Linked DNA regions of Canis lupus familiaris. The protein of the gene in region 2 binds, or shares a complex with, the protein of the main gene of each other region. Links are inferred from orthologs where the notes say so. Each region holds a gene or a part of one and is shown on either strand. Other genes may lie near its edges.

The links.
Region 1: SMARCC2 (region 2) and DPF1 share a complex: the UniProt entries of both Homo sapiens proteins name them as parts of the neuron-specific chromatin remodeling complex. The link is inferred for Canis lupus familiaris from reciprocal best matches to the Homo sapiens genes SMARCC2 and DPF1.
Region 3: SMARCC2 (region 2) and PHF10 share a complex: the UniProt entries of both Homo sapiens proteins name them as parts of the neural progenitors-specific chromatin remodeling complex. The link is inferred for Canis lupus familiaris from reciprocal best matches to the Homo sapiens genes SMARCC2 and PHF10.
Region 4: SMARCC2 (region 2) and SMARCD3 share a complex: the UniProt entries of both Homo sapiens proteins name them as parts of the BAF complex. The link is inferred for Canis lupus familiaris from reciprocal best matches to the Homo sapiens genes SMARCC2 and SMARCD3.

What each region holds. Positions count from the first base shown.
Region 1 is NC_049222.1:115,596,877-115,604,793, reverse strand, and holds the start of DPF1 (zinc finger protein neuro-d4), read right to left. Parts: upstream 4,771-7,917; 5' UTR 4,762-4,770; coding exon 4,652-4,761; intron 3,282-4,651; coding exon 3,121-3,281; intron 3,029-3,120; coding exon 2,921-3,028; intron 1,602-2,920; coding exon 1,474-1,601; intron 1,218-1,473; coding exon 1,128-1,217; intron 728-1,127; coding exon 649-727; intron 435-648; coding exon 303-434; intron 1-302. UniProt on the Homo sapiens protein: May have an important role in developing neurons by participating in regulation of cell survival, possibly as a neurospecific transcription factor. Belongs to the neuron-specific chromatin remodeling complex (nBAF complex).
Region 2 is NC_049231.1:832,970-839,511, forward strand, and holds the end of SMARCC2 (SWI/SNF complex subunit SMARCC2), read right to left. Parts: coding exon 6,400-6,542; intron 5,382-6,399; coding exon 5,247-5,381; intron 4,237-5,246; coding exon 3,855-4,236; intron 3,549-3,854; coding exon 3,123-3,548; intron 2,586-3,122; coding exon 2,509-2,585; 3' UTR 1,784-2,508; downstream 1-1,783. Other genes in the region: MYL6 (myosin light polypeptide 6), read left to right, coding at 214-242. UniProt on the Homo sapiens protein: Involved in transcriptional activation and repression of select genes by chromatin remodeling (alteration of DNA-nucleosome topology).
Region 3 is NC_049233.1:72,425,462-72,432,765, forward strand, and holds part of PHF10 (PHD finger protein 10), read right to left. Parts: intron 6,451-7,304; coding exon 6,341-6,450; intron 5,080-6,340; coding exon 4,926-5,079; intron 502-4,925; coding exon 346-501; intron 1-345. UniProt on the Homo sapiens protein: Involved in transcription activity regulation by chromatin remodeling. Belongs to the neural progenitors-specific chromatin remodeling complex (npBAF complex) and is required for the proliferation of neural progenitors.
Region 4 is NC_049237.1:16,011,090-16,018,901, forward strand, and holds the start of SMARCD3 (SWI/SNF-related matrix-associated actin-dependent regulator of chromatin subfamily D member 3), read right to left. Parts: upstream 4,866-7,812; 5' UTR 4,484-4,865; coding exon 4,406-4,483; intron 1,422-4,405; coding exon 1,210-1,421; intron 1-1,209. UniProt on the Homo sapiens protein: Involved in transcriptional activation and repression of select genes by chromatin remodeling (alteration of DNA-nucleosome topology).

The DNA.
Region 1 (7,917 bases), on a different chromosome or scaffold from region 2:
AGCTTCGCGGAGAAGGGAGAGAGGGAGGCAGGGAGGGAGGGGAGTCATCTATCACCCCCCTCCCCAAGCTCTAATTGAAACAATAAATCAGACCCAGAAATATTATGCCCGGCCGGGAGCGAGAGGGAGAGATGGTTGGTTGCCATGGCAACCCCAGAGCCAGCATCCCCTTGGTCGGTGGGGGGAGGGGACCGCTGAGCTGGAGATTTTCCAGAAATGTCTAATGTGCCCCCTCCCTCCCCGGCTCCTCAGCCCCCACTCCCCGGGTCCCTCACTACCCCACAGCCCGCCTGCCTGCTCACGTTTATGGTTGTTTTTCCGGTGGAAGGGCAGGGCGTGGCGCTCCGCGTTCTCCTCCCCCTCCTCCTCAGCCAGGTGGGTGTGGGTGTAGTGGTAGCTGAGCCCTGGCCGGTTCTTATACCGTTTCCCACAGACTGGAGGGCGAGCAGGGAGGGGGGCGGGTCAGCCCTCCCAGCCGGGCGGCCTCCACCCTGGGCGGCCTCCACCCTGGCCTCGGGGTCACACCTCCCCCCTCTGCCAGAGGCCTGAGCGCCCCGCCCACCGGGCTCTAGAACAGGAGGGAGGGGGCCAGCAGGGGGGAGGTCTCTAGGCCCCACTCTCTCTCTCCCCCTCTTCAGAAGGACTCACTATCACAGACATACGGCTTGTCTCGGTCCTCGAGGGAAGCGGTGTCCTGGCGTTTCCGGAGACCCCCGATGCCGTATGCCTGCGGGGGAAGGGGGGGGGTGAGCGGCCAAGAAACGGAGGGAACCGGAAGGGCTTTCACCTCGTGGGCCTGAAAGGTGACCCGCAGCTCTGCCACTTCCTAACTGTGGGCCTCCACCGAGAGGTTCAGCTTCCTCGCGTGTAGCGTGGGTATAAGGCGGCTCTCAGCCACTGGACAATCTCTGTTTTGCAAACGGTATAATGATATCTGAGCCTCGGTTTGCTCATCTGTAAAATGGGTATAAGATCCTCTACGAACCCCCTTCCCACCCCCACCCCGTCAGGCTTCTCTGGGGATTAAATAGGGTCAAACTGGGGCAAGGCCGGACCATTGTGTGTGCCCAGTACACTGGCTCTGCCACGGAGGGGTGGGGCGATGGAGAAAAGTTGAGAGGTAATACCTTTCCTTTGGCCCTGTTCTTCCTCCTGGGAATGTCATCCTCCAAGTCTTCCACCTCAAGATCATGTGGAAACTCCAGCAGCTGCTGTTTCTGGGCACCAGGAGAAGGGGGATCGAGGTCAAGAAAATGGGGGGGATGCTGTCCTGCTCTGGGGAAGTTCTGGACACCGCTGGAGATGGGGGGGAGGAGGGCAAGTCAAGAGGGGCTTCTAAAAAGAGACAGGGTGTGGGAGGATGGAGATCCAGGGTGCCCCAAGGCCCGGGGAGACTGCAGAGCAGGAACAGGATGTGCCAGGGCGGGTGGCAGGGATGAGAAGGCAGCTCAGGCCCCTGAGGGGTGGTCCCACCTGGCAGTCCATAATGGTCTCCTCCTCCTTCAACTCAATCTTCTTCTCCCCTGTCTCCGCACACAGTAGCGCCTCAAGGACTGGCCCTTCTGGGAGGCCGCCCTCCTTCTTCAGGGGTGCCTCACAGTCTGCAGACAAGGGTGGGGTCAGGGGGGTATGTTGTCCCTGGAGGATTCCTCAAACAGCCCGGGTCAGGGAACCATGCCCTTTGCTTCAGGACAGAGGCTTTCCCACACTCGACCGGCAACAAGACTCAAAGACTCAATCATACATACTGGGAAGGATGCCGAGACCCTGAGAAAGACACAGCCAGACCCTCAGATCCACTCAGACACACTCAGAAGGAGACACAGCCAGACCCTCACTTACACCTGGATGCATATGGAGAGCTACAGACACTCAAACAGGGCACACATGGAAAGTACAGATCATCTTGAGGCAGCCAGACACACAAAGGAAGAGATACACCCAGACACGCGGAGGAAACTCATCCAAGCCCTTGGATACACCCGGAGACAATCAGAAAGGGACATTAAACCATCAGCTCAACCTAGATCCACATGAGGAAGACGCAGCCAGACCCTGCCATACACCTGGACACACACGAGAGCGAGACAGACATACCTAGAGGGAATCACTCAGATGGATACACAAGGGGGAGGGACACAGTCCCTCTGAGGCAAACAGACACACCCAGAAAGACACAGATGGACACATAGTGTCCAGATGGACACTTCAATACACCTGGACCCACACAGACCCTTGGATACACCCGGACAGGAGAAGAGAAAGAGCCAGCGACTGTGACACTACTGGTCACAGTCAAAAGGTCATAAAGCCCAACACTCTGGCCAGACGAGCACACGTGGGCAGAAATATACGTAATACTCCAGCCACGAAGGGCTTCTCCCAGACATCCCAAAGCATCTGGACACTCAAAGGAAGAGACACCCAGACGCCCTGATACACCCAGACACACTCAGGATACCCTGCTAGACCAGACACACACAAGACTAAATAGCCCCTCTAGTACTCTTGAAAACACCTAGAAAGAGACACAGACACTTTGATATGCTCCCCTACGGATGGAAAGACACCCGGACACATCCAGACACACATAGGAGGCACCCATAGGAAGAAAGCCAGCGGGACCCTGATCCATCCCAGCTCGCCAGGGAAGGTACACCCAGGCACACACGAAACAGATACCACTCTGCCCACGAATACACCTGGGCCGGAGGAGAAGATACAGCCCAAGTCCAAAGCCCAGTCACTCGGGGGGAACTGGAGAACGTCTGGACTACACCAGACGCACACCTGCAGACAAGCGCTGGGAGGGAAATAAAGGCAAATGCTCAGACCTGCAAGGGCCTCACCACACACGCATGAGCGGGTGCTGGGGGCACTGATGGGGTCCCCCCCAGGCCCAGGATGAAGCTCCACCCACCGATCTTGTACTCGCAGGGCCGCAGTCTGGGGTCCTCCAGGATGTTGAGTCTCCGTTTCTTTCTCCAACAGCGCGCCGGGTACGTGTAGATCTGTCCGGGGGCCAAACCTGGAGTGAGAAGCGCGAGGGGCCGTGAGAACAAGGGGAAGGCGGCCCGCAAAGCCGCCGCCCCGCCCCGCCCCCACCCTCCGGGCCGGTACCAGGGCCGCGGTGGGTCTTTTCCATCCAGATGTAGCAGTTGTTCTGGGCCACGCCGGTCTGCGAGTCGAGGAAGGGCAGGCGCAGGCTGCGCTCGGCGCACAGGCGCGCGTTGTAGCTGCGGCAGTGCTCAATGGCCTCGCGGTAGAAGTCCTCGCCTAGGCTGCGAGGGGGCGAGCGAGCGGGCGAGTGGCTGTCAGCAAGGGCGCGAGCGCCAGGTGGCCCAGCAGCCCCCCTCGGCGCGCCCCTCGGGAGTGGGTGGGCCTACTCTCCCAACCTCCCCTCTCCCCCCTGTGCCTCCGGGACTCAGGCGCCCCCAGCCCAGGGCCCAAGCAGGCCTGGAGCCAACAGGCAGATAGATACACACCATACAGAGACGGACAAAAATACACCAGGACCCATCCCTACAGGCACGCGTCAAAATACTCAACACAACCAAACCACACAGGATTCACACACAAAGAGAGACATATCCCAAAACTCACAAAGGAGAAACAGACAAACCTCACATATGTGCACACACAAATATCTACTGAGAAAATACAAACATCGCCGTCCCATAGTGTAGAAACAGACACATCCCACATATATCCATGCACGAATACACCTCACATATCCAAAGACACACAACATAAACAAAGCACCCGCACAAAGACACACAATGTGCAGAGATCACACACACAGCACTACACACACATACACGCATCCAAAGACACACAGTGATACACAAATATTATGAGAAGAATGTTAAACTACCCACACATGCACTTATATACCCAAAGACACAACACAAACAAATTACACACACACACTCACACACACACTATCCAGACAAACTATACAAAGAAATCACACAGATTCACACAGGACACACACACAATCACAAAGATACACAACATAGAAACCAACATCTAAAATACCGCATATCCACACAAAGATACAACACAGAAACAGACAAATCCACCCATATTCACACAAAACTGTACAAATACATGCATGCCTACAAATCCAGACACAGAACACAAGCGATGCACAGTTCCAAAGGACATGTACGCACACTCAAAGACCCAAATATCCAAAGATACCTAGTGTAGACTAAAATAAATTAAACACATATCCACACACATATCAAAAACAAACAAACAAGTGACACGCACTCCACATGCCAAGACAAAGGTAGTGTGGACTTCACTCAAGTTTCCCAAGCCTCCCGCACCCCCAGACCGTTTCAGTCTCTCCCCAACCCCGGGGGTCGCCGGGCGGGACGTGACCCCCCTTCCCCCGAAGAGGACCCGAACAGGACTCCGAGTCCCCCACACCCTCCGCTCCTCCAGGAGCAGCGCATCGGACCCCGTTCTTGCCAGGGACCCACGATCACACACATCCGCACCCCCGCGCAGCACGGCCCACGGTGACAGCCCCCCAGACACCCCATCGGCCCCACCCCCGGCCGCCACACACGCACACACACACGCGCGCGCCCGCGCAGACCCGCCCGCGCGCCCTCTCCCGCCTCCCGCCGGCCCGCGGCACCTCAGGGGGCCGGGGATGACCGTGGCCATCTTGCTCCCCGGGTCCTGCCCCCAGCAGGTCCCCGCCGGGTCGGTCCTCCCAGCGCTCGGGCGGGCGCTGAGGCCGCCCATCCATTCATTCCCGCGGGGCGGGAGCACCGGGGCCACAGCCAATCAGGACGGCAGGGCGGGCCCGCCCGGGCCATGCTGGGAGTGGTAGTCCGGGCCGGGGGCCGGGCGGGACCCCGCGGGGCAGGGGGCAGGGGGCAGGGGGCAGGGGGCAGGGGGCAGGGGCGCGGCCCCGGGAGCGCGCGCGGTCACTCACGCGGCCACTCACGCGCGCCCGCTCCCACGCGCCCTAGCGTCCCGGGCACACGCTCCCACGGGCACACCTGGGCTCGCACACACCCACCTACGGCAGTTTACACACACATTCACACGTATACTCACAGCCTCCCACGCAGACTCACGCACACTTCCCTCCCACGCCTTCACAGACTCACATACATTTACACTCACACGAACACTCCGAAGCCATGAGACTTAGAGATACCCTGGAGGGGCCCGCACGGGCGTCCCACCCGCGCCTGCGCTCGCCTCACCGACACCTCTCCCTCCCGCATCCCCAGGCCCTCCCGGCTCCCAGCGCCCGGCCTGTCCGGTCCCCGGGCTGTCCCCGGCACGGTGACCCCGCGCGGGCGAGCCCGTCCTGCCGCAGGCCGGTCGCCAGTAAGGAGCTGTAGCCGCACCTGGCGGGTTCGAATCCCGCCTCTGCAACTCGGTGGCCATGTGGCCTTGGGCAAATGACTTAACTTTCCTGGGCCTGTTTCCTCACCTGTAAGATGAGGATGACACCTCATTGGATTGTTGTAAGGATTAAATGAGTAAATAGAGTGTTTTTAGTTTTAGTTTTTCCACATCCAGCAGGGAGCCCACCACGGGGCTTAAACTCACCACGGAGAAATCAAGACCTGAATTGAGATTGATTCGGAGGCCTAACCCATTGAGCCACCCAGGTGCCCCCCCATATAGTGTTTTTAAAAGGTACCCGGGGTGGGCAGGGGGGAGATGCCAGCGTGGCGAAGCAGTTGAACGTCTGCCTTTGGCCCAGGGCGTGATCCCGGGATCCAAGATTGAGTCCCACATCCAGCTCCTTGCAGGGAGCCTGCTTCTCCCTCGGCCCCTCTGTCTCTCTCTGTGTGTCTCTCATGCATAAATAAATAAAATCTTTAAAAATAGATGAATAAAATAAAAGGCACCTGGCAGGTAGTAGGTTCAGTAAATCCACTCCATCAAGGAGATCGGATATGAAGTCAGGTGTAAAATGGTGCTAGCCAACCACTACCAGAAAGAATAATGCCTGGCCCATAATAGATGCTCAATAAGTATTTGTTGAATGAGTAAATAAAAATATACTGGTACCCACCAGGTGCCAGACACAATTCTAAGTACTTCAACAGCCAGCAGCTCATACGATTCTCATAATGACCCTCCCAGGTGATGCTATGTTTACGCTCATTTTCCAGATAAGAAATCTGAGGCAGAGGGAGGTGAAACCACAGGGCCCTCAGCTCCTGGTGGCGCTTGACGGTGGGGCTAAGAGGATTCACTCATCTAGGTATCTGTACCCAGGTGAGTTTCACCTCCTTCTTTCTCCCTCTGTCACCAGCACAGACTGTACCCTAAGGAGTCCCCAGACAGCGAGCTGCCCCAGCAGGCCACACCAACACGGACCGGAACCCCCCTGGTCCAAAATTTGTGTTCCAGTATGGGCCCCCTCCTGGATAAAACCCCCACAAATGTCCTTGTCCACCAGAGGGCTCTGCAGCAGCCAGAGAGGCAGACTAGCCTTCACCTCTTTTGTCACCTGATGCCTCCACCTACCCTCTGGTGAGAGAGATGCCCTCAAGTTCCTCCAAACTTATCACCTCTACACACACACACACACACCACACACACACACACCTAGTGTTAGACCCCCTTCCACAAACTCTCCCCAGTCTCCCCAGGGTAAGGCCTTGACCTCCCCGCTTCCCCACTCCCAACAGGACACAGTGGGTCCCTGCTTCACATCTGGCCGAGAGTAGGGGGCAAGGGGAGTAAGTGAAGGATGCTGGTACCCCCACGCTCACTCTGGCCTCCAGGCCTCTATTCCGGCCACCTCATACCTCACCCCTGGTAAGCCCTACCCCTCCGCCCATCAGCTCAGCTCAGAGAGTGCCCGTCCTCGCACCTTCCTCTCTCACCTCCCACCACCCTCACAGATCCCCCAACACATTACACCTGCTCCCCACACCTCCAGCCTCAGACACCCCAGCTCACGCCTGCCCCACCCCAGAACCCTTACATCAATTTGCTCGGTTAGGGGCCTGAACATAGAATAGTCCGTCACCTCCCTGGAGGCCCCTGTCCATCAGCACAATTGACCCACCACCCGAGCTGTCGCTTCCCCCCTTTCCTTGCCCCTGGTCACCTTCACAGATCCGTCTCCCACACTTGAACTCCCCTGCCCACGGGGTCCTCCTAGCCCACCGCCCTCCCTCAACCCTGCAGACCCCTCAGAGGATGAAAGCAAAGAAGGGCACACTGGCGCTCTCCACCCTAACCTTATCCTGGCCTCCAGGCCCCCGCAATGCCCTATATGGAAACAGGACCACAGAGAAATCAATATTGATACTTCTAATAATAATCAGTACACTTAGTCAGGGTCAGGCTCTGAACCAAGCGCTTTACAAAGATCACGACAGCCCCTGGAGGTGATAGGCAGTTATGATTCCCCAATACTCAGATGGTAACACTGAGGCTCCGGAGGGGGGTGGTGAATTAATAGCTCAAGATGAGGTCTGGAACCAGGCAGTCAGAACCCCTAGGCCCGCTCCCACCAGCCTCCCAAGGGGATTTGGCTCCCACAGTCTTGCGGGAGCCGGATCCTACCCTCGACCCGGCGGACAGCTCAGCTCCACGGGAGAGCAAAGAAGGGCAAAGAAGGCGGCGGCCCTCCCGCCCCAGCGCTTCCTCCCGCCTCCTCCAGGGCCCGGCCTGGGGTCAGAGTGAGGAGGCCAGGAAGCCTGTGGAGCCACCAACCTGTACAGGAGCCCTGTCCCGGCCAGTCTGAGGGTGTCCCTCAGAGGAGCCACGTCTGTCTGTGTGTAAGACAGAGCGAGAGGGACGCAGGAGGGTGTCGGCGTCACACACCTCCTCCCGCTGACCCCAGCTCCACACACGCCCCGCAGCCTCTCTGGCTCCGCGCAAAGCCGAGGCACACGTGTAGGCGCGTGCCCGTGAACC
Region 2 (6,542 bases):
CTGCTCAGGGTAGGGTGGGGGGCTAACAGCTGGTGGGAGGGGAGCTGGGGGCCGAGAGAACTGGGCAGACTCAAGGTGGCTCCTCTGCAAAGCCAAGGTTGGTTTCTGCGGGCACATACCCATGCTACCTTTGTGGTCCTGTGGTCTCCTGGCCCCTGGTGGACCCCTCCCCTTGGCCCTACTCCCTGGCTCACCCCTTTCTCCGATCCACAGAGCTCGTCCGTATGGTGCTGAATGGCTGAGGACGTTCCTGGTGTGCCCGAGCCCCGTGCCTTCCCCCGTGTGAGACTGCATGTAGCCCCGAAGGCGTCCTAGGTCCTCTTGTCACAGCACCTTTGCCAGCTTGTCTCTCTTGGATATTTGCTATCAGCAGTCACCAAATAAACTTGCTCTGTGCCCTAAGTACGGTTCTGCCTTCCTTCCTGAGCAGGGTGAAGGGGAGGAAAGACCATCCATGGTCAATAGACCAGGGGTCAAAAAAGCTGGGGAAGGGCTTGGGGGATCCATCTTTGTGTCATTTAAAAAGTACTGGCCCCATTCACTGATGTTCCAGAGGCTACCGCTTGGGGGAATTAAGGAAGCCATAAATCCCTGTAGGACCAAAGGCTGGCCATCCTCGGTCTGCCTCCTTTCAGGAAGTCCGCCTAGCCCTCCCATCTGGTTAAACCCAGCCGTCCCTCTCCCAAGCACTGATGGCCTTTTGTGGGGGAAGCCCAGGGAGTGTTTAATGGAGCTAAAGCCAGGCCATATTAGCACTGCCTGAGCCTGTCACCTCGGTAGGGCTAGTGGCCAGTAATAGAAGTATGTGACTTGCCTGCCTTCTTCCTGCCTAATAAGGGAAGGAATGAAGCCATTACTTCTGAAAGGATAAATATACAAAATCTCCAGGTTGGGAGGATGTCCTTCCAAGTCTCAAACAGCTATTTTTAGGGCAGGTGAGAGCCTCTGCCCAGCTCCCAAAACAGTGCACAGTCCTGACAGCTGTGCTGCCTTGAGCCTGTTGTGGAGAGAGGCCTAGTGCCTGCGTGTCTATGGGCCGTCCAGTGCCTCTCCAGCCCAGGCGAATGCCCCTGGAAAGGCTGCCCCCAGCCCCAACCCCCTGCCTGGCAGCCACAGGTCAGAGAACACAGAAGGCATTCACAAGATGGAACTGAAAGCAAATTAATTTATAAAAAAAAAAAAAAAAAAAAGAAAAAAAAAAAGAAAAGAAAAAGGAAAAGAAAAAAAGGAAAGAAAAAAAATTTACAGAAAACTTTTGAACAGAAGAAAGGTGCCGAGACGCAAAGGAAGAGAAACACGGGGACGTGAGCGACAAAGGCCCGGTGGCAGGGACCAGGCAAACTAGTGGAGAGCCCGCCTGGGGTCCTGTCCACCTTCACATCAAGGATGAAGAAGGGAAAGATGGGAGGCCGTGGAATCCAGGGGGCAGAGCCAAGCTGCAAGCTGGGGTAGGCACTACCCTAGGTTGGGCACCCCTCCTCCACTGTCTCCAAATCCCAGGGAACCCCAAGCTACCAGTCAAGGTTCTGATGGTCTCGGTGGAAAAGGGAAGAGGTTAGAGGGGTGACCCACCAAGTCAGAAGAAGGAGGTGCTTAAGTGCTTTTTGAAAAATGCAGGTTTTTACAGCTCCACAGCTCCCCATCCTCTCTAGCTCCCCTTTCCATGTCCTCTAGGCGCCCAGTGACAGGGCCCAGGGAAGAGGAACGGTGCTCTTCCTTCCTCTATTACCTACCACAGGAATCCCCAAAATATGTTTCCCCACCAAATACACATACGCTGACATCAACTACGCAGGTGACTTTTAAAAACACAGAACTGACATTTGGGGGGGGGAAGGGGTCATTGGCTGAGTTGGGGTGACCTAAAACAGCAACACTGAGGAAGCACAGGAGAGATTAGTAGGAACAAACCGGAGATGGGGTGGCTGATGGGGTTGGGGAGTGGATTCGGTTACTAATGAAGGGCTGGAGGAGACAGACTCTGCACCCTACTCTATCCCCAGAGCTCTCCCAGAACCTTAGTTCCCCTTTCCTGTCACCTCCCTCCTCCAAAAAATGTAAAAGTTGGAATTTTTTTTTTTTTTTTTTTTTTTTTAGTGGGTGGAGGGAGCTCCAATGTGGCTTTTTTATCTCTCTACTTCTTTAAAGGGCTTCATTTTTTTTTTCATCCATAAAAAATGCAGTAGTTTTGAGGGGGTGCACCCTTAAAAGTGGTTAATTAGAACCTTGTATAAACACCTTTCCCCAGCCCTTTGAGGGCAGCATCCCCAATCCTATCCTCTCTCCCAGACATTAGAAACATCTTTTAAACAGAAGTCCGTGAATAATCCGATATAAAAATGCATGCCTCTGACAGGCATGATGGGGGCTTTGGAGGGGCAGGAAGAGCTTTCCTTACGTAGTGATGAACTCTCCAGGCTGGGGAAGGGTCCCAGTGGTGGGGAGAGGGCTGTTCCTGGAACCTTGATCTCCATAGGGGGTGAGGGAGAGAGATGTCTGGCTGGCTCCTCACTGTGGAGGTGGCACAGGGGTGACTGTGCCTGGGCTCGGGGCCGTGGGGTCTGGAGGCAGAGGGGTACCTGGGTCTGTGGAGAAAAGGAAGATGAATCAGCTAGGGTGAGCAGGAGAGGGATCCAGACCCAGGCCACCACAGACGAACAGAACTGGGCATGGCATGCAATGGGTGGGTAGGTGACCGAGGGAGCCTTTCCCCAAAACCCTCTCCCACCTCACACTGGGCAGACGGAAATACCCACAATCCTCCTGCCCCCAAGGGAACTCTCTAAATGGGGCATTTGAACGTGATAGGAACAAGCAAAGGGGATGCCAATCATCATGCAGACAGGTAGCTGTTTTTCAAGTTTACAACTGAGACGCTGTGCCTTAGGACTCCTCCGTGACCCACCAGTGAAAGGCCCCAACGTCATCCCAGAGGTGGCAGCTGCCAGGGTGGGGAATGGTGGAGGACAGCCAGAGAGGCCCTTCCCCCTGTGTTCTAATTTACCAGAGCGTTCAAAAAGGATTGTGGAAGTTCTATGACCTAAGCCCTTCCCCTAGCTGACCCCCATCCCTCCATGTGGACCCCTCTCCCTCACCCTCTTCCCCTCCAGGACCCTTCTCACCTGGCAGTGGGCTGGCACTGGGCAGGAGGTTGCCCTGAACAGCTGCCACAATGGCAGGGCTCTGGGCTGCGGCGGATCCGAGCCCCGGCCCGAGAGGCAAGGAAGATGGCATGGTGGTGGTCGCCGGCAGGTTAGGATGTAGAGGGTTCGCCATGGACACAGGCAGGTTAGGTGGGGGGAGAGTGCCCGGGGCAAACGGGAGATGGTGGTGATGCCCATGCAGGTTAGGAGGAGGGGGCAGGTTAATACTGATGGAGTCGGCTAGACTACCAAATGGGATGATGGATGGAGCAGGAGGAGGAGGAGGCGGCATGCCAAAAGGCAAACCCAAAGGAGCATTACCCGCCACGCCTGGGTGCCCGCTGCCTGGCACTGCCCCTGGCATCATTGCGGGAGGAGTTTGTTGGTTGGGGAACGGTGAGGGGCCTGGGAGCAAAGAGAAGAGGTCAAGAGGGTTAGAGGCGTAAGATCTCCCTTACCGACTCATTGTGCTAGCAAGGATCACCTAGCCACTCCTCAGCACCACCTTCCCTGACAAGAGAGTAAGCAGGTAAAGCCTTGGATGAGACTCAAAGATTTGGATGTGGGGAGGGAGCCCTGTTGGTTCAGGGGTAGAAGGGAGGAGAGCCCATCTGTAGAAATCTCGTCCTGTCACATATCCCTTTCAAGAGGGAATCCAAACATTCACCGGGGGCCCCCTGGTCAGCAGGAGTTCCAGAAGCCGTCACTTACCATGGGGTCCAGGGGGGGGAACCCCTGGTGGGACTGCCCCAGGCTGGGGGGCTCCAGCTGGTTGCTGCTGCTGTGGCCCCACGGCTGACCCTGCCTGCCCAATCTGTTCAGAGGGGCCCAAGCTTCCGGGGGGGGCCCCACTGCCAGCAGGAGCGGGGGCCACGGAGGCCGGAGCCATGGCCAGGCTGTGAACCGTGGGCGGCCCAGCAGTGCCGGTGGGTGGGACAGGCTGGGAGCCCGGGGGCAGAGCTGGCGGTGGCTGCTGCTGCTGTTGGTGCATTTGCTGGAAGTGCTGCTGCCGGGCCCTCATCTCGGCATACTTCAGCTGCTCCATGTGGAAGGCTTGTCTATCTGCCAGGAGCTGCTGCCTCTGATACTCCAGCTGCCGGTGCCAAGTGGGGACCGTTACCCACGTGCAGAAGCCCACGAAGGCAAACGCCCCACCGCCTTCTCCGTCCCGACAAACCCTACCTCTCATTCTGGCAGTTCCCTGCAGCAAGGGGGACCTTGGGCTCGGCCTTCCCAAGGGGGAAGATCTTGGGCTTGGCCTTCCCAGGGGCCCTGCCCTGCCCTCTCCGCTCCAGAATCCCCACCGCGGTGTCCGGCTGCCCGTGTGGCTTCTCACTGCGGTGGAGTTCATCTAGTGGGAGCCCTGACTCATTTCAGCTCCAAAGCTCGAAATCGGTCATGATTTTCACTGGGAAAATGCTTCCCGTTCCTAAGGTCAGCTCATGGTCTCTTCTTTCCTCAAAATTGGCAAAATGCTTACCAAGCGTAGGAAGCCATCCCAGATCAACTCTGTGGCCTCCGAGCTTTGCCTTTATTTCATTATCTCTCAGGACTTTTAATCTGAATTTGTCAGCTACTTTAAGCATTCACTGTTCTTGACGCCTCCATACTGGATATCGGGGTCTCCGGTTAAGCGGTAGGTTCTGCTAGGATCCCTGTCTTACATTTCTTTTTGTATCATCTCAAAGCCAAAATGGTTCAATACCATGTCCATTCTATACCCTTTCCTGTTCACCTCCTGGATCTGGAGCCCCTTCCCTCTCATCATCCCTTAAACCTGCTCGATCACTCGACGAATACTTATTTACCAAGAGTCTACGATGGGCCAAACACTGCTCAAGGACCTGGACCTGAGGCAATCAAAAAACCAACTAGAATCTCTGCCCCATGATGCCAACATCGTGTGGGACCTCGGGCTCCAGGCTTCCCCTGTGAGCCACTTGTCCTTAACTGCCCAGGGCTGGATCCTCCTGCCCCTCCGCCACGAAGCTCTGCCACTCTCAGGCTTTCTCCACTGCTGTTTACGCCCGTCCTCAACCAAGGCCTGGCCCAGTGTCAGGCTGTGGTCCTGGGCTGCACTGGCCCCCAGGGATTGCTACTCACTGCCTCTCGCTCCCGGTCCATGATCGTCTCCAACTCTTCAAAGTGCCGGAGTTTGATCTCCAACTTTTTCATCTGGGTCTCCACCAGCAGGGCCACCAGCGATTTGATCTTCCTCTCCTCCACAGCGGCCAGGTGCTAGGGAAGGCGGGGAGGGCGGCAGATGAGCCGGAGGGCCCCAGGGGAGACAAGTCCGGGAGAGAGCTGTAGGGTGAGGCTGACAGGTTTTAAGAAAGAACTTGCTGGGGGGATCCCTGGGTGGCTCAGCGGTTTAGCGCCTGCCTTTGGCCCAGGGAGCGATCCTGGAGTCCTGGAATCGAGTCCCACGTCAGGCTCCTGGCATGGAGCCTGCTTCTCCCTCCTCCTGTGTCTCTGACTTTCTCTCTGTCTATCATAAATAAAATAAATAAATAAATAAATAAATCTTAAAAAAAAAAAAAGAACTTGCTGGGGGCGCCCGGGTAGTTCAGTGGCTGAGCACCTGCCTTTGGCCCAGGGCGTGATCCTGGGACCCAGGACTGAGTCCCACATCAGGCTCACCGTGGGGAGCCTACTTCTCCCTCTGCCTGTGTCTCTGCCTCTCTGTGTCTCTTGTGAATAAATAAATAAAAATCTTTAAAAAAAAGAAAAAAAAAAGAAAGAACGAACTTGCTGTGGTCACAACCCACAGAGTAGCAAAGACTTCTTATTCTTAAAAGAACATGAAAAAAGAGAGAGTGGCAAAAGATAAGGTCAAATAATTAGAGGATAGACACAGGCCTAATGGTAAAAAGCTTTAAAAAGGGGATCCCTGGGTGGCTCAGCGGTTTGGTGCCTGCCTTCAGCCCAGGGCGCGATCCTGGAGACCCGGGATCGAATCCCACGTCGGGCTCCCGGTGCATGGAGCCTGCTTCTCCCTCTGCCTGTGTCTCTGCCTCTCTCTCTCTCTCCATGTGACTATCATAAACAAACAAATAAATAAACAAACAAACAAATAAATGCATGCTTTAAAAAGCTTCGAGAAGAGACAACCAACTCTCCCTCTTGGGATCAAAATGAGAAGGAAATGGGCCAGCGTTATGGAAATGAGGAGCACAGAAAAATTTCCCGCAGGAGAAGTGAGATCAGAGAAGAGGCAGTGCCTTCCCTGGGGGTCTTCTGGGCCCCTGGACCTCACCTTGGCCTTCACTGCGGCGGCGGCCAGGGCGGCGGCGGCGGCAGTAGAGAGGTTGCCCTCGCCGATGTCCCGCTCCACCTTCGTCTTCCTCTCCCCCTCTGACTCCACCATGTCCTTCAGCACTTCCTCCTGCCCTTCCTTTG
Region 3 (7,304 bases), on a different chromosome or scaffold from region 2:
TAATTATGATCTTTACTCCAAGGAAACAAAGGATAAAGTTCTGTCTATGAAATAAATTTTTAAAAACCCATACTTGCCTGGTTATTGTTTAAAAGACAAAAAAAGATTTTCTTATAAATTGTACATATACAGAAAACAGAAGCTGAACCATAGGCAAAAGTGACAGAAAAGCCACCAGGAAAATAAAGCAAAAAAGAAGGAAGCTGACAGAGGGCACACGCCACAGAAGAGCAGCTAGTCAAGTGCAGCAGGCAGAGCTCCGCAACTCTGAAAGTCAAAGTTAAACTATGTCGGGGAGAGAGGCTGGTCAGGGAAGAAGCGGAGTCAGGGGCTTTTTTCTTCTACCTTGTACCCAGGGACTGACTTGGACAGTACAGAACGTTTGGAAGCATCTTTTCTTGGAGTAGCAGCTTTGTCCTTGGATCTCTGTCTTCCCTGGAATGGCTCCTCCTGGCCATCGGGAAGGCCTTCTCCTTCAGACACGTTGCCGGAGGAGCTGTCCTGGAGGTCAAAAGCACACACAGATTCCTTGGAATAGACACAGATTGAGAGTGACTTTGCATGCTACAGCAAAGATTTTGTTTAAGTTTTGAAGTTCCATCAAAGTAAAAATAAAAAAATAACTATAAATATAAAAAAAAGTTTTCTAGTGCAAACTGAAAGAAGTCATGTTAAAAATCACCTACCTGTCTTAGAAATATGACAGCACAAAGCTGATTCCATTTATACCAGCAAGTACCTTAAGCCATTGTTTTCTGACTTAACATGAACAGAATTGTCTGCTTCAACTGCTACTACTCCAAGACAGCTTCGACACCATTTGCCGTGTCACAAGGGGGCATTATTTATTTCGTAAAAAGTTGTTTAAAAACTAAATGGTCTTTTTGAACTTGGACACAGCAACTTCTTGCAAGATACATCCATGAAGGCAAGAGAAACAAAAGCAAAAATGAACTATTGGGACTTCATCAAGATAAGAAGCTTTCCCACCGCAAAAGAAAGTCAACAAAACTCAAAGACAACCTACAGAATGGGAGAAGATATTTGCAAATGACGTATTAGATAAAGGGCTAGTTTCCAAGATCTGTAAAGAACTTATTAAACTCAACACCAAAGAAACAAACAATCCAATCATGAAATGGGCAAAAGACATGAAGAGAAATGTCACAGAGGAAGACATAGACATGGCCAACAAGCACATGAGAAAATGCTCCGCGTCACTGGCCATCAGGGAAATACAAATCAAAACCACAGTGAGATCCCACCTCACCCCAGTGAGAATGGGGAAAATTAACAAGGCAGGAAACCACAAATGTTGGAGAGGATGCGGAGAAAGGGGAAGCCTCCTGCACTGTGGGTGGGAATGTGACCTGGTGTAGCCACTCTGGGAAACTGTGTGGAGGTTCCTCAAAGAGGTAAAAATAGACCTGCCCTATGACCCAGCAACTGCACTGCTGGGGATTTACCCCAAAGATGCAGATGCAGTGAAACGCTGGGACACCTGCACCCCGATGTTTCTAGCAGCAATGTCCACAATAGCCACACTGTGGAAGGAGCCTCAGTGTCCATCAAAAGATGATGGATAAAGAAGCTGTGGTTTATGTATACAATGGAATATTCCTCAGCCATTAGAAACGACAAATCCCCCATTTGCTTCGACGTGGATGGACCTGGAGGGTATGATGCTGAGTGAAATAAGTCAATCAGAGAAGGACAAACATTATAGGGTCTCATTCATTTGGGGAATATAAAAAATAGTGCAAGGGAATAAAGGGGAAAGGAGAAAAAAATGAGTGGGAAATATCAGAAAGGGAAACAGAACATGAGAGACTCCTAACTCTGGGAAACGAAGTAGGGTAGGGGTGGTGGAAGGGAAGTTGGGCGGGAGGTGGGGGTGACTGGGTGACGGGCACTGAGAGGGGCACTTGATGGGATGAGCAGTGAGTGTTATTCTATATGTTGGCAAATTGAACACCAATAAAAAAAAAATTAAAAAAAAAAAAACCTAAATGGTCTTAAGTAACTGTGGGTATTGGGTAGCCTGGGTGGCTCAGCGGTTTAGCGCCACCTTCAGCCCAGGGCGTGATCCTGGAGACCCCGGATCGAGTCCCACGTCGGGCTCCCTGCATGGAGCCTGCTTCTCCCACTGCTTGTGTCTCTGCCTCTCTCTCTCTGTTTCTCATGAATAAATAAAATCTTTAAAAAAAAAAAAAAAAAAAAGGACAGCCCGCGTGGCTCAGGCGTTTAGCGCAGCCTTCAGTCTAGGGCATGATCCCAGAGACCGGGGATCAAGTCCCACGTCAGGCTCCCTGCTTGGAGACTGCTTCTCCCTCTGACTCTCTCTCTCTCTCGGTCTCTATGAATAAATAAATAAAATCTTTAAGAAAAAAAATCTTAAAAAAAAAAACAAACTATGGGTATTTTTACTGAGTAATAAATGTCATTTAAAAAAGTTCTTCATGCACTCACTTGTACTCCATGTAAGTGTCAATATCGTCAAGCCTTTTATGACAGTATCTGACGTGTTTTAAATGTCGAGATTTAGGAGTTCAACATCTGATCATTTAATACTTCATTTGTTAATTTTAAATTTTCTAATTAAAATTAAAATGCTATATATTCATATAAATTATGAAAATTATAAATCAAAATATTTGGTTATCTGTAACTACGATAAATATCCTGAGAACTACTGGGAACATGAATGCATGTCTACATACAAAAAAACCAGATTCACACATTCACACGTTCACACATACCCTATCAATTCATATCCCTCATTTTTTTAAAAAACCACAAAACTGGTGGGGCACCTGGATATCTTAGTCTGTTAAGCATCTGACTCTTGGTTTCAGCTCAGGTCCTGATCTCAGGGTCGGGGATGGAGCCACAGTGTCCGGCTCTGCTCAGCAGGGAGTCGGCTGGAGATTCTCTCCCTCTGCCGGTCCCCTACTCCTCTAAATTAAACAATCTTTAAATATGTTCTTGAAAAAAAACCACACACACACAAAACTGGATTGTGCTCTGTGTGTATGCATGTGTTTTTTAATGGTTTAAAGCATTATGTGGGGTAGCCTGGGTGGCTCAGTGGTGGAGCACCTGCCTTCAGCCCAGGGCGTGACCCTGGGGTCCTGGGATCGAGTCCCACATCAGGCTCCCTTCATGGAGCCTGCTTCTCCCTCTGCCTGTGTCTCTGCCTCTCTTTCTATCTCTCATGAATAAATAAAGAAAATCTTTAAAAAAAAAAAAAAGCATTATGTGGATTTTATCACATCATTAGATATTCTTTATGGATTTTATCACATCATTAGATGTTCTTTGTTTTTTTTTTAAGATTTTATTTATTTATTCATGATAGACAGAGAGAGAGAGAGGCAGAGACACAGGCAGAGGGAGAAGCAGGCTCCATGCCGGGAGCCCGACACGGGACTCGATTCCGGGACTCCAGGATTGCGCTCTGGGCCAAAGGCAGGCACTAAACCGCTGAGCCACCCAGGGATCCCCTAGATATTCTTTGAACTTCATTTCTATCATGTAATAGATCACCTACTGTGGACATTAAACTTTTTTTTTAAATATATTTTATTCATTCATTGAGAGAGAGAGAGAGGCAGAGACACAGGCAGAGGGAGAAGCAGGCTCCACATCAGGAGCCCGATGTGGGACCGGATCCCAAGACTCCAGGGCCATGCCCTGGGCCGAAGGCAGCCACCAAACCGATGAGCCATCCAGGGATCCCCTGTGGACATTAAACTTATTCCTAATTTCCATTATAAAAAATACAGTTAACACTCCAATGGCAGGACACCTGGGTGGCTCAGTGTTTGGTCGTCTGCCTTTGGCTCAGGTTGTGATCCTGGAGTCCTGGGATCGAGTTCCGTGTCCCACATCGGGCACCCCCAAGGAGCCTGCTTCTCCCTCTGCCTATGTCTCTGCCTCTCTCTGTATCTCTCATGAATAAATAAATAAAATCTTTAAAAAGAAAACCAAAAACTCCAATGGCCATTTTTTTCCTAATTAAATTTTGTCCTTCAGATAAATTCTATTAGTGCATTTGCTAGGTCAAATTCTGTGCAAGTTAAAAATCTTGGTATATGCTGTTAAATGCTCTCCTGGAATGTTGGGTTACTTTTTACTTCTACAGGCAGAGTGAGGGAAAATTCAACTATAACATCATGCCCACACCACAGCTCCCCTTTTACCAATAAAAAAGGAGCTAAGTGGTACCACCACTTTAATACTTGAATAGCATCTTATTTTATGTAACATGTACCATTAAATAGGTTTTACAATTGTTGGGGACAAAAAAATAAACTGCCCATTTAATAGTAGCACATTCTCAGGTTCAGGTTGGCTATAATTACGTTTAAAAATAGCCAATTGCTAAATACATTATGCTAAATGAAATAAAAATCTTCTAGCAACATGTTTTTGCTCTCCTTCCCTTCCACAGAGCACACCAACTCTCCCCAGTCATGCAACTAAAGTTTGCAAAAAAAAAAAAAAAAAGAAAGAAAAAGGCATGCAAGAAAATGTACCTAATAACAGCACAACATACCAGTCACCTTCACATTTTCCTATAGGAAATCTAAATTACTAATTAAGCAATAGGAACACATGTTAATGTGCTCCCGAAACTAAGCCAGTTCAATAGGATTGCAAACTAATGTCCATGACCTTTCCTAACCTATTTGTGATAACTTTAAGGACAACTTTAAATACAAAACTTACCAAAGGCTATCCACAGCCTGTCTGCATCAATGCACATAATAAATAATTTTCTCAATGAAAGCGCTCAGGAAATTATATGCAACTGTCCTTTTTCAAAAAGGGTGGTGGTACAATTTTAATTCTACATTCTGGGAAAAAATTAGCAAAAACTCAAGGGGAAGGAGACAGCTCCTAGTAAAGATCAATGTTCCTACCGAAGTGCCTTTATGTTTCCGTTTCTCGTCGCCTCGACCATCCTCAGCATCATCAGAATCCCCGTCGCTGTCAAGGGCTGGGAGCTCAGGATCCAGAGGGGGCTCATAAAGCGCGGTGTTTAATGGCAGATACCGCAGCTCATCTGGTGAGTATCTGAGGATCAGAGAGACGATTGTCACTTGTCTTTTTACAATTAATACGAATGATCTAATTTGTGAGCTTTAAAGGTAGCCTTAACCTTCTCAATTAACCCCAAATACTTTTGGAAAATGACTACAAATGTAACAAATAAGTTTTCATTTTGTATCAAGTAAGGAAAATAAATGAGAAGCCTAAACGTTTTTTACACCAGGCTAAAAGTATATCATATGCATTTGATTATCAAAAGAGGAAGTCTCCCTCCTTTATCTTCAACCCAAAATAGAAAAAAAAAGTCAGCAGACTAAGGTAGAACTGTGGCAATTCAAGACTGTGCACAAAACCCATGCCTCCTGATCACTCCCACCCTCCCCTCACCCCATATCACTGCTTGTGGGTCCCCGTGGACTGCAGGACGATGCGTCCACCTCACAGGTGGATGTGATGATGACATCAGTCGACACACATGATGCACAGCAGTGGGTGGTACATGACATTATTTAAGAAATTTTTTTTAAAAACTTGTGATGCATGTACTCTAACAAATGTAATCATCACTTTTAATAATTTGCTGACCCCAAAGCGAAATTAAGATCTGCAACCCATGATTTAAATTGGACTTTCAAATAGTATGATCCTATAGTCTATTTTAAACACTGTTCTCTAAAGACCAGTCTCTATCCTCAAGAACATAAAGCTTAAAGGTGAGAGTTTTCAAACAAAAGGACCCTGTTAGCCTTATTTTCAATTACACCCAGGTTGGGAATGAGAGAGAAGCAGCCATCCCGGACAGAGTGGAAGCAGCAGCCAGGCCAGGGCAGTGACGTGGCCGGCACAACCAGGTGGCCCAGCCCGCCCTGCAGCCATTCTGCTTCCTCCTCGACATCCTCTGCAGACTGAGCCAGTGCTTCCCGGTTGGCAGGTCTGGGGTTGTGCCCGAGAGTCTGCACTCCCAATCAGCTTTCAAATGACACGGGTGCTGCTGGGCCATGAAGCACAATGTAAGGACCGAAGCACTGGTCCACCTGCATCTGCCACGGACACACGAACAGGTGCGGGCAGGGAGATGGGCAGCTCCAGCTTTGTCGGCAGATGTTTACGTTGTGGCTGAAGGGTGTTCTTCACTGATGAACCACAGAAAACAGGATACTGGCCCAGATCTCACACAACATCTCAAGGTGGTACACACAGAGCTCAACTCTTTGGAGGCAAGTACACAAGACTCTGCAGTCCCCCAGCAGTACCCAATAACGATGGTAATAAAACCAATGGATACCTTTTGTAGTATTCCTGGAACTGTCCGGGGATGAGGGCCACTGGGTAAGAACTGACCTTGGTTCTCTCAGTTGGTAACACTTTGTACTTCCCCTGAGGCACCTGGATGACCTGGGTTGACGTGAAGAGAAATACGTAAGTGATTCTATGCTGGGAATCCAGGTCCTAGGAACACAATCCTCCTGTTCTCCACCATGCTCCTTCCCACAAAAGGCTAAAAACACAGGAGACATTAGGAACTAAAACCCAAGGGGACAGTGGGGAGGTTTCTAGCCACACAGGTGAAGTTTATCTGGCTCTTCACCACAGCCAGCACTTCTGAGGGAAAGGTAGCCTGCTTCTGTTCACCAATGGCAAGAGCAGCGGGAGCTGAGCAACACATACAACGTCCTCATCTATGAAATGAGAACAATACTAGTTTCAACCTCACATGGCAACTGTGAGAATTAAGTGAATTAATATGAAAAAAATTTTTTTTAATATTTTTTATTTATTTATTTATGATAGTCACACACACAGAGAGAGAGAGAGAAAGAGAGAGAGAGAGAGAGAGGCAGAGACACAGGCAGAGGGAGAAGCAGGCTCCATGCACCGGGAGCCCGACGTGGGATTCGATCCCGGGTCTCCAGGATCGCGCCCTGGGCCAAAGGCAGGCGCCAAACCGCTGCGCCACCCAGGGATCCCTGAAAAAATTTCTTAAAACAACCCTTGGACAAGCAGCCACTATGATATACACCTATTAGTCTCATTCAGGAGAAATGTCAACCACAGAGCAAAAGACACCACTCTCACATATATACACACACACAGAAGTGAACAGAGCGTTACTAGCACATCATTAAAAATTATATCCTAAATTCTGGAGCAGGAAAGGACACATCGCTGGTACAAAAAACAAATACAAAAAACAAAACAAAAAAAACACACCACAATGGCTAAATAAAATAAAGGAGATACTGAGCACT
Region 4 (7,812 bases), on a different chromosome or scaffold from region 2:
TGACAGGCTATGGGATCACCTGCCAACAGGGTCCAGAAACACACCCGTAGGGATCCAGAGAGAGGGATGTCCTGCAGGGTGTGACTGCAGACTGGACTTGAGGTGGCAGCTGGGACTTGAACTCTTCTTGATCTGCTAGCTGCTTCTGATTCCCAAAAGCACCCCAGAAAATCCTTGGCCAGTTGAGATTAGCACCCAGCCTGGGGCATGGCTCTGTACCATCCCTGTGTGGTGGTAACCACTGCCCCCTCCTGTCCAAAAGCCTATTCTAAGGCTAGGTAAGCATCTTTCCTGAAAGGTCTGATTTGTTTTGAAGAAATTATCTGTGTGAAACTCTCCATCTATACAAGACAAATCAGGAACATGTTTACTGTATAAAAAGATGATTCACTTTGCAAAAGAATTCATCATGGGATTCCTATAAATGGTGAATTTTCCTTGATGTGTAAAAAATATTTAATAATGAGGTAAAATCCATATTACTCCTTTTATAGGACTCCATCTGGTGTGCAAAGGGAAGCATGTGTGTTTGGTTAAATAGTGAAACCCAGAGGGGCATCTCTCTTGCCAGACACCAGCAGGGGCTTTTGGGGTGCCACCAGCTGGCTCAGACAGGGAAATGGGCTGGCCCCTGGTGGCTCCTGGGGGCAGACCTGGTCCAGAAGACAGATTAGGGCAGCTCTTTAACCTCTAAGTGCCTAAGAACTACCTGAGAGCAGGACCGTTATGGAGACCACCCACCCACAGGGCACATCCCCAGACTCCACCCCCCTGGCCAGAGAGTCAGATTTAGACTATCTCGAGTGGGGCTTTTAAAACAGTCAAGCCAGGGGACTGGGGACGGTGCACTGGACAGCCACACTTTGAGAAACACAATCCCTGAAGCTCAGCCCTCGGCCCTCCTGCCAGCCCCACCCCCACCCCCACCCCAAAGACGGAAGCATCTCCCAGAACCTGGGGACGAGGGGTGGAGAGAAGGAGCGAGCAGGTGACAAGGAGAAGGGCGCGACGGCCGCAGCCTCAGTCTCTACGGTGGGCACACAAAGGAACCGGACCAGTGCCCCCTCGGCCCACCTCCCCAGAGGGCATCCCACCCAGGACGGCTCGTTCCCGGCCGATCCTCCCTCCCTGCTCCTTCTAGGCTCGCTGCTCAGCCACCCCGTCCCTGGGGTCGCGTGGCCCGCCCCCTCCGCGCTGGGCCCCACTCACCTGCGGCTCCGCGCGGGGGCGGTGGGCACCGGCTGGCCCTGGCTCTGGGCCTGGCTCTGGCCGGGCGGGGGCGCTGCTCGCTTGCGGGCGGGCTCCATGCCCGCGGGGGCCAGGCCGGGTCGCACGGCGGGGCTGCCCATGTACGGGGAGCCCGGGGGGCCCATGGGCGCCCCCTGGTGGGGCATCCGGGCTCCAGACGGCATCCCGGGGCGCTGGGGGGCGGGGAGGGGGGGCGAGGGGCGGAGGTGAGGCAGAAACAGGCGCCCGCCGGTCAGCTCAGGGCCCCGGTTCCGGGCGCGCAGAGCCGCGTGTCTCCCACCCCGCGCCCCCCCCCGCCCCCCCGGCCGGTGACCCTGATGCCGCCCGCGTGAGCGAGGGGTGGGAGGGGCAGGGGCGCCGCCACCGCGCGGCTGGGCGGAGGGGGCTCTGCGTCTCGCCGCAGGAAGCTAACTGAAGCCAGGCAACTGCACTGGGCACTGCCAGCCTCGGATTTGCGGAAGGTACCGCGAAAATGAATATTAATGGCGCCTTTCAACCTTTTCAAAGGATGTTCACAACCACATTCTCCTCTGCAAGACGGACCGGACGGAGGGGGTCCTTCCAACCCCACTTGACAGATGAGGGAACCGCAGCTCAAGGAGAAAAGCGACCTAGCCAAGGTCACCCCGCTCCTCCTGGCCAAGGTGGCATGGAACTGCCGGTTCCCCGGGTGTGGGGGCTCTCTGGTCTCTGCAGCTTCATCTGGCTTAGAGGCTCTGCTCTCTGCTAGAGGACTTCTGTCCCTCTTTCCACTCCTCACCTCTCTGTCCACTTCCTGGGCCGTCCTGCTGGGCACTTGCCCTCCCCACTAAACCCATCCTTCTCTCTGGGCCCCTGCTTTCCACCCTTCAGTCTCAACCCACACCCCCCTCAGCTGATTCCAGGTCACCACACCCAGGGGCACCCCCCCCCCCCATAATTTACTCCCAAGGTGAAGGCTGGAGGCCACAGGAGCCAGTGAGGTCACACCCCACCAGGAGTCCCTGACAGGATGGGAGGCAGCTGGGCTGGAGGTGGGCTGCCCAGAGGGCTTGCAGAGCTCAAAGGCTGCGAGTGAGTGAGCGAGTGAGTGGCATTTCCTCTTCCATCCATCTCTCCCTTCCTGTCCGCCTGCATTGCCAGAGATGGTTCCATCCTACAGAACTCTTCCACTTCCCACCCCGCCCCAGTGAGGTAGGAAGCCAGGGCTCTGAGGGGGACATGGAGAGCAAGAGGAGGCAGGTGTATTCCCTTGCCACCTCAGATGGGATGGAGATGAAATGCAAATTCACTAAGTGTTTCACAGACTTTGAAAACCCCACTTGTCCAGATTCCAGAAGAGGAATCCGGGAAGGCCCAATGGGCTGAAAAGTGGAGGGTGGGTGTGATGGGGACAAAGAGAGCAGGAAGATTCGGGAACAAGGGATGCAGCCCCTGTGCCCTGCCACCTTTTAAACACTACCTGCTTTGCCCTCAGGCACAAGGAGGAGCCCTGAGCCTGAGCCCGGTGAATTCCTTCTAAATGCCAACTCTCCCTCCTGTCCCTCTGGCCCTGCACTTTGTCTAACCCTAACTCCCAGCCAGCCAGCTGTCTCTGTCTATCTCTCCCACAGTGAAAACTGCCCATCCGTGTGTCTGCCTCCCCCACCGCACCTGACCCTATCACTCATATCTCCAGAGTGGTGGCCCAGAATGGAGCCTAGGCCCAGGCCCACCAGCACAGATGGGGTACTGGGAGTGGAGTGGTGGGACTCACAGCCACCCAAGAACTGAAGCTGTAAGTTGGCAAAAAAAAAAAAAAAAAAAAAAAAAAAAAAAAACAGAAAAAACCCCACCAACAACAAAAAAACAAAACCCAAACACCACCAAAAAACCCCCACACATATAGCCCCCTCTCTCTCCTAGATGGGCCTTTTTAAAGGGACTTCACCAGCAGCATGGTTAGGACCGGCAACTTGGCTGACCGACATGGTCCTCCCTGGGAAGTTGCCTCAGAGATCTCTGGGACAGGAGAACAGGCTGCCCCAGGGAAAGCCCCTTTACCCAATCAGCTGCTCTCCCATTCCTCAAGGCCAGTGATAACTTGCTGATCTGCTGAAGAGACCCCGAGAGAGAAGCTTCCAGAGCCCCCAGAGAGCTGTGCCAACCAAGGGGACTACCCCAAAGAAGGGCCAAGATTCTAGGGACTTTGGTTTCCCTCATTGAGAACGTGCCTTCTTTGGGGTCACAACCAAATTTGGCCATAGTCAACTTGACTGCCTCCTCTGCACCCAGCTCCAACCCCAGTGGCCATTCCAAGCCCAACAATCTCTGCCTCTCCCATTCCGCTGCCTTCCACATCTCTACCAGCCTGGCTCCTGCTGCCTCAGCCTGAGGTCCCATCCCCTCAGGTCACCCTGGGCTCCCTTGGGCTCCCTGTGTGCCTTCCAAGTCCGCTCCTGGCAGGAAGGTGCCGCCCTGCCCCTTCGGTCTCTAGGCCTTACATCCCTGACTCCAGCCCTTCCTTCACACCTTTGAGGATTTAAAGACATCGGCTTCTGGGGGCTGAGTCTGCCAAGGGGATCTTCAGACCCCTTCACTTGGGGTCTGTCCCTGGAGAGGGTCTTTCTCTGACCCGGATGGCAGAAGCCATCAGCAAAGCCCCAGAGCCCTCCTGCCAGGATGCAGAGGTTGTTGGGGCAGAGAGCTTCCCGCTCACAGTGCCTCCAGGGTCACCTGCTCCTTCCTCTTGCTCAGAGAGACACAATCAGAGAGACACTGTCCCAATGGATGAGCAGACAACCCAGCCCACCCGCTGCCGTGTCCCCTGCCCCCACCCCCAGGGCAGGGGAACACCTGGGCCCACGAGGAAAAGAATAGAAGACAACACGTCTAGTACAGAGGGGAACCCCCCCACACTTGGGGCGGCAGTCCCCAAGTCCCACCCCCAGCCCCTGACAAGAACCCATGCAAAGCTTCCGTCCCCGCCCGGGGCACCCATCCCCGGCCCGCCGCCTGCCGCCTGACGACGTGTTCGAGTGCCAGGGCGCCGGCACAGTGCTGGGGCTGGGCCGCGGGCCGCGGCGCCCCTGCCAGAGGGGTGGGAGAGCGGGAGCCCCCTCCCGGCCCCTCCCGATCATCCCTCCATTCAGCCCGAGCCAGCTCGCTCACCCTCCCCCGCTAACTTTCCCCCACTCACCACCCCATGGACCAGAAACTCAAAAAGTTTGCTTTTCGTGGCTTTGCGCGCCCCTCCGGCAACTTCGTCCGCGGCCATCGGGGTGGGCTCAGCGGCTCCTCTCACTCTCTCTCTCTCTTCCTCTTTCTTTCCCTTTTCTGCCTTTTTTTTTCCTCCAACTCTCCCCTCTGAGTCCTGCTGGGCTCTCTCACACTTCTACTCGAGCGGAGTGGGGAGGGGGCCCCTTCAGGGCTGCCCTGACGGCCCACGGCCCACGCCGCCGCCGCCCGCCCGCCGCCGCCGCCGCCGCCGCCGCGGCTGCCGCATTCCTGTACTGATAAGACAGAAATAGTCCGGCGGCCCGGGGTCTGCCTGTTGACTCGGCGGGGCCCGAAACGCCTGCCTTTGCAGCCCTCGCTGTCCAAACAGCGCAGATAAGCGGCGAGGCACGCCGGCGAGCCCGGCTCCGGGGCGCTGGGCAGCGGCACTGCAGCCCGAGGCCGCCCGAGGGCCGCGGGGAGGCGGCGCGGGGAGGGGACGCGAGGGGAGGCGGCGGGGGGCTCGTCGGCCACCCGGGCTCTCGCCACAAATAGTTTCTCGGTTAGGGAATTCGCCGGCAGGGCCAGGCAGGGAACAGGCAGTTCCAACTGTCCCCCAAGTGGGCTCCTGCTGCATTTCTGAGGCCCTTTCCCCAGAGACCTGGCAGGCCAAGTAGGGAAACATTCTCTGGAAGGAAGGAATCCGGGGGGGGGGGGGGGGGGGGTTGGGGGGGTTGGGGGGAGGCCTTCCTCCTGCACCAGGCCGACAGCGGTGGGTGTGCCCGGGGAGGCGCTGTCCCCTCGCGTCCACAGATGTGTGCGCCCTTGTCTCGCCCGCCGTGTGTGTCTGCACCCTGGTGTGGGCATGGCTCGGTGGCTGTGGGTGTGGATGTTTATGTGCGTGCACAGACAAATGCCTTCTCTGTGTGCCTCCCTCCACGAGAGCCTCGGGTGCGTGCGCGCGCTTGCGGGTGCGTGTGTGGCAGGACACGGCCTGTGTCTTCCAGCTCCGTGTGAGTCTATTTCTGGGTATGTGAGTCTTTGTTTGTCTCTATGTGAGAAAGTGAGGGCAAGAGGGGAAGTATTTCGGAAAGGGGAGGTGGATCGGACTCATGAGAACAGGAAGAGCAGCGAATGTGAGGGAAGGCGAGGAGCTGGGGTGGGTGCTTGCGTGGATGGATGGAGAGAATGGGGCATGAGGTGGGGGGTGGGGGGACCCAGAGGTGATGGGGCTGCTGGGTATAGGGGAGGGCGGGCCGCAAGACCCCCAGAGAAAGCAGGGGTAAGTGTGGGATTGGCTGAGGGAGCCCCAGAAGAGGCAGTGTTCAGAGAGCTGGCAGTCCCTGGGGTGAAGGAGGGACAAATCCTGAGATCCCCAGCCTGGGAACCATAGCACCACCCAGGCCCCCAATGGCCACACCCCTCTCTCCTCCTTCTGGAGGAAGAGCCCCAAGGCTTTGGGACCACAGTGGGTCAAGTTTGTGTGCTTCCTGGGGCTGCCCTGTCAGAATCCAGGTGAGGTGGGGCAATGCCTGGGGGAATTTGTTGGAAAAGTTATTTGAAGTTATACCCTAAAGACCCAGAATTACACTGAGGGGTGGGGGGGAGGTGTCCTGAACCTCAAACCCTTCAGAATGCCCTCAGAGGTCAGACAAAACCCAGGGAATGTTCTGCCTACAGTCCTTTTGCCTGCAGCCTGGTTTCCTTGGGCTCTACTTGTGCTCCTGGCTGTCACGGTCAGTTGGGTGCCCACTGTCAACCCTCTGAAAGGCCAGAGTGGCCCATGACAACCCTCCTTTTCTGGGGGCTTAGCCAGGAACCCAGAGGTCCTCTTCCTACCAAATCTCTACCCAGCTTCCCCTAGACTCAACCATGCAGAAACTGGGTCCTGCCAAGGTGGGAATGGCTGGGTAGTTGCCATAGGCCAGCAAGGTGGCTACTGGTGACCTGTGGAGGTAATCTCTCCAGTCTGCCCACTAACTTCCAAAACCCTTCACTTATCCCCATGTCTAAGCCTCTACTCCCATGATTCTTTTGCCTGGAATCCTTCTACTGCTTATCTGCCTGTCTTTTAAAGCCTAATGTGGGCCCCACCTCCTCCAGGAAGCCTGCTCCAGTTCCACTCCTGTGCACCAACCTTTCTCTTCTTTGAATACCCATTGCCATCTATGCTATGCCACAAATTGGCACTTGGCTGACCAGTGTCTGAGATGTTAGGTTTGGTTTTCCAAATGTGGCCCCCCTGACATCAGGGACTGGTCTTTAAGTACCACTCTCCTCCCCACTCCACCCCACGCTGGGACACGGGAACTTATGATCAAATAAATGCCTGCTCACACTTGCAACCACCCGAAAAGCTCAGTAGGCCGGTGGATGGAGCTCATACTCTGCCACTTACCTGAAGGTGTGAGTCGCCATGGGCACCCCTACGCACTGTGGGTGCTTCTAGCATGGACCCATGAAACCACAGACCTTAGAGGCTCTGGAGAGACTCGGGCTGGGGCAGACATTTTTAGGCCTTGTGTAAAGCTCAGAGCTCTCAACTCTCCAAGAGGTCTTTGGGGTAAAGAAGACAGCAAAGGAGGTGGATGGGCACCCCAGCTTGGGCAGCTAAGTTTCAGGGAGGATCACGAAGGAAAGTGGGGATACCCAGCATTTGGGAGGGGACGGGGCTTGGTGGTGGAGGAGATGGCAGGAGGTAGTTAGACCAAAGGCTCTGGCGATACCCAAGGAGCTGGTGAGCATCACTCAAGACCATAGCTAACTCCCTCCTGGGCCACCCCAGCATCAGGGTCTCCCCGACATCCCCCAGCCCCTTCTCTGGGAGACATCCCTCTGCCAGCAGAGACAACAGATATATAATGCATTCATGCCCCTCAGGCACACAGGGATGCAGACTCCAGAGGGACAAGGAGCCACCAGGATTTGCACACACAGGCACCTCTCCACCATCTCCATATCACACTCACAAGGGGCAACTGACGAGGCACCAGCCAGTAGGCACATCTGCGTGCTGCTTTTACAGGGGCAACCCTGGATGTGCAGACCCGGGGGAGCCCTCAGACCAGAGAGCAGAGGCGCAGGTGTGGGTGCACCGGGCCAGGACTCCCACCTCACAAAGGCCAGCATCCCCAAAGGCTCAGCCCCAGAAGAGCGGCTGGGCAGTGTCACCGCCACAGGTTCCGGCCCAGGGCAGGGTGGAGGCCCAGGGAGAGCCCCGTTTCCAGCCGCCGGGGGGGCCTTCCTCCCAGCCCAACTGGGCTCTTGGTCTCAGCGGCCGGCGGCCCAGGCCGTGCTCCGGGCAGACCGCGCGCGTGTCCGGGCAGAGGGCGGCCGCCCTGCGGCTCGGAGCCGGAGTCCCCCCTGCCGTCCCCCCATCGCTCCTTCCCT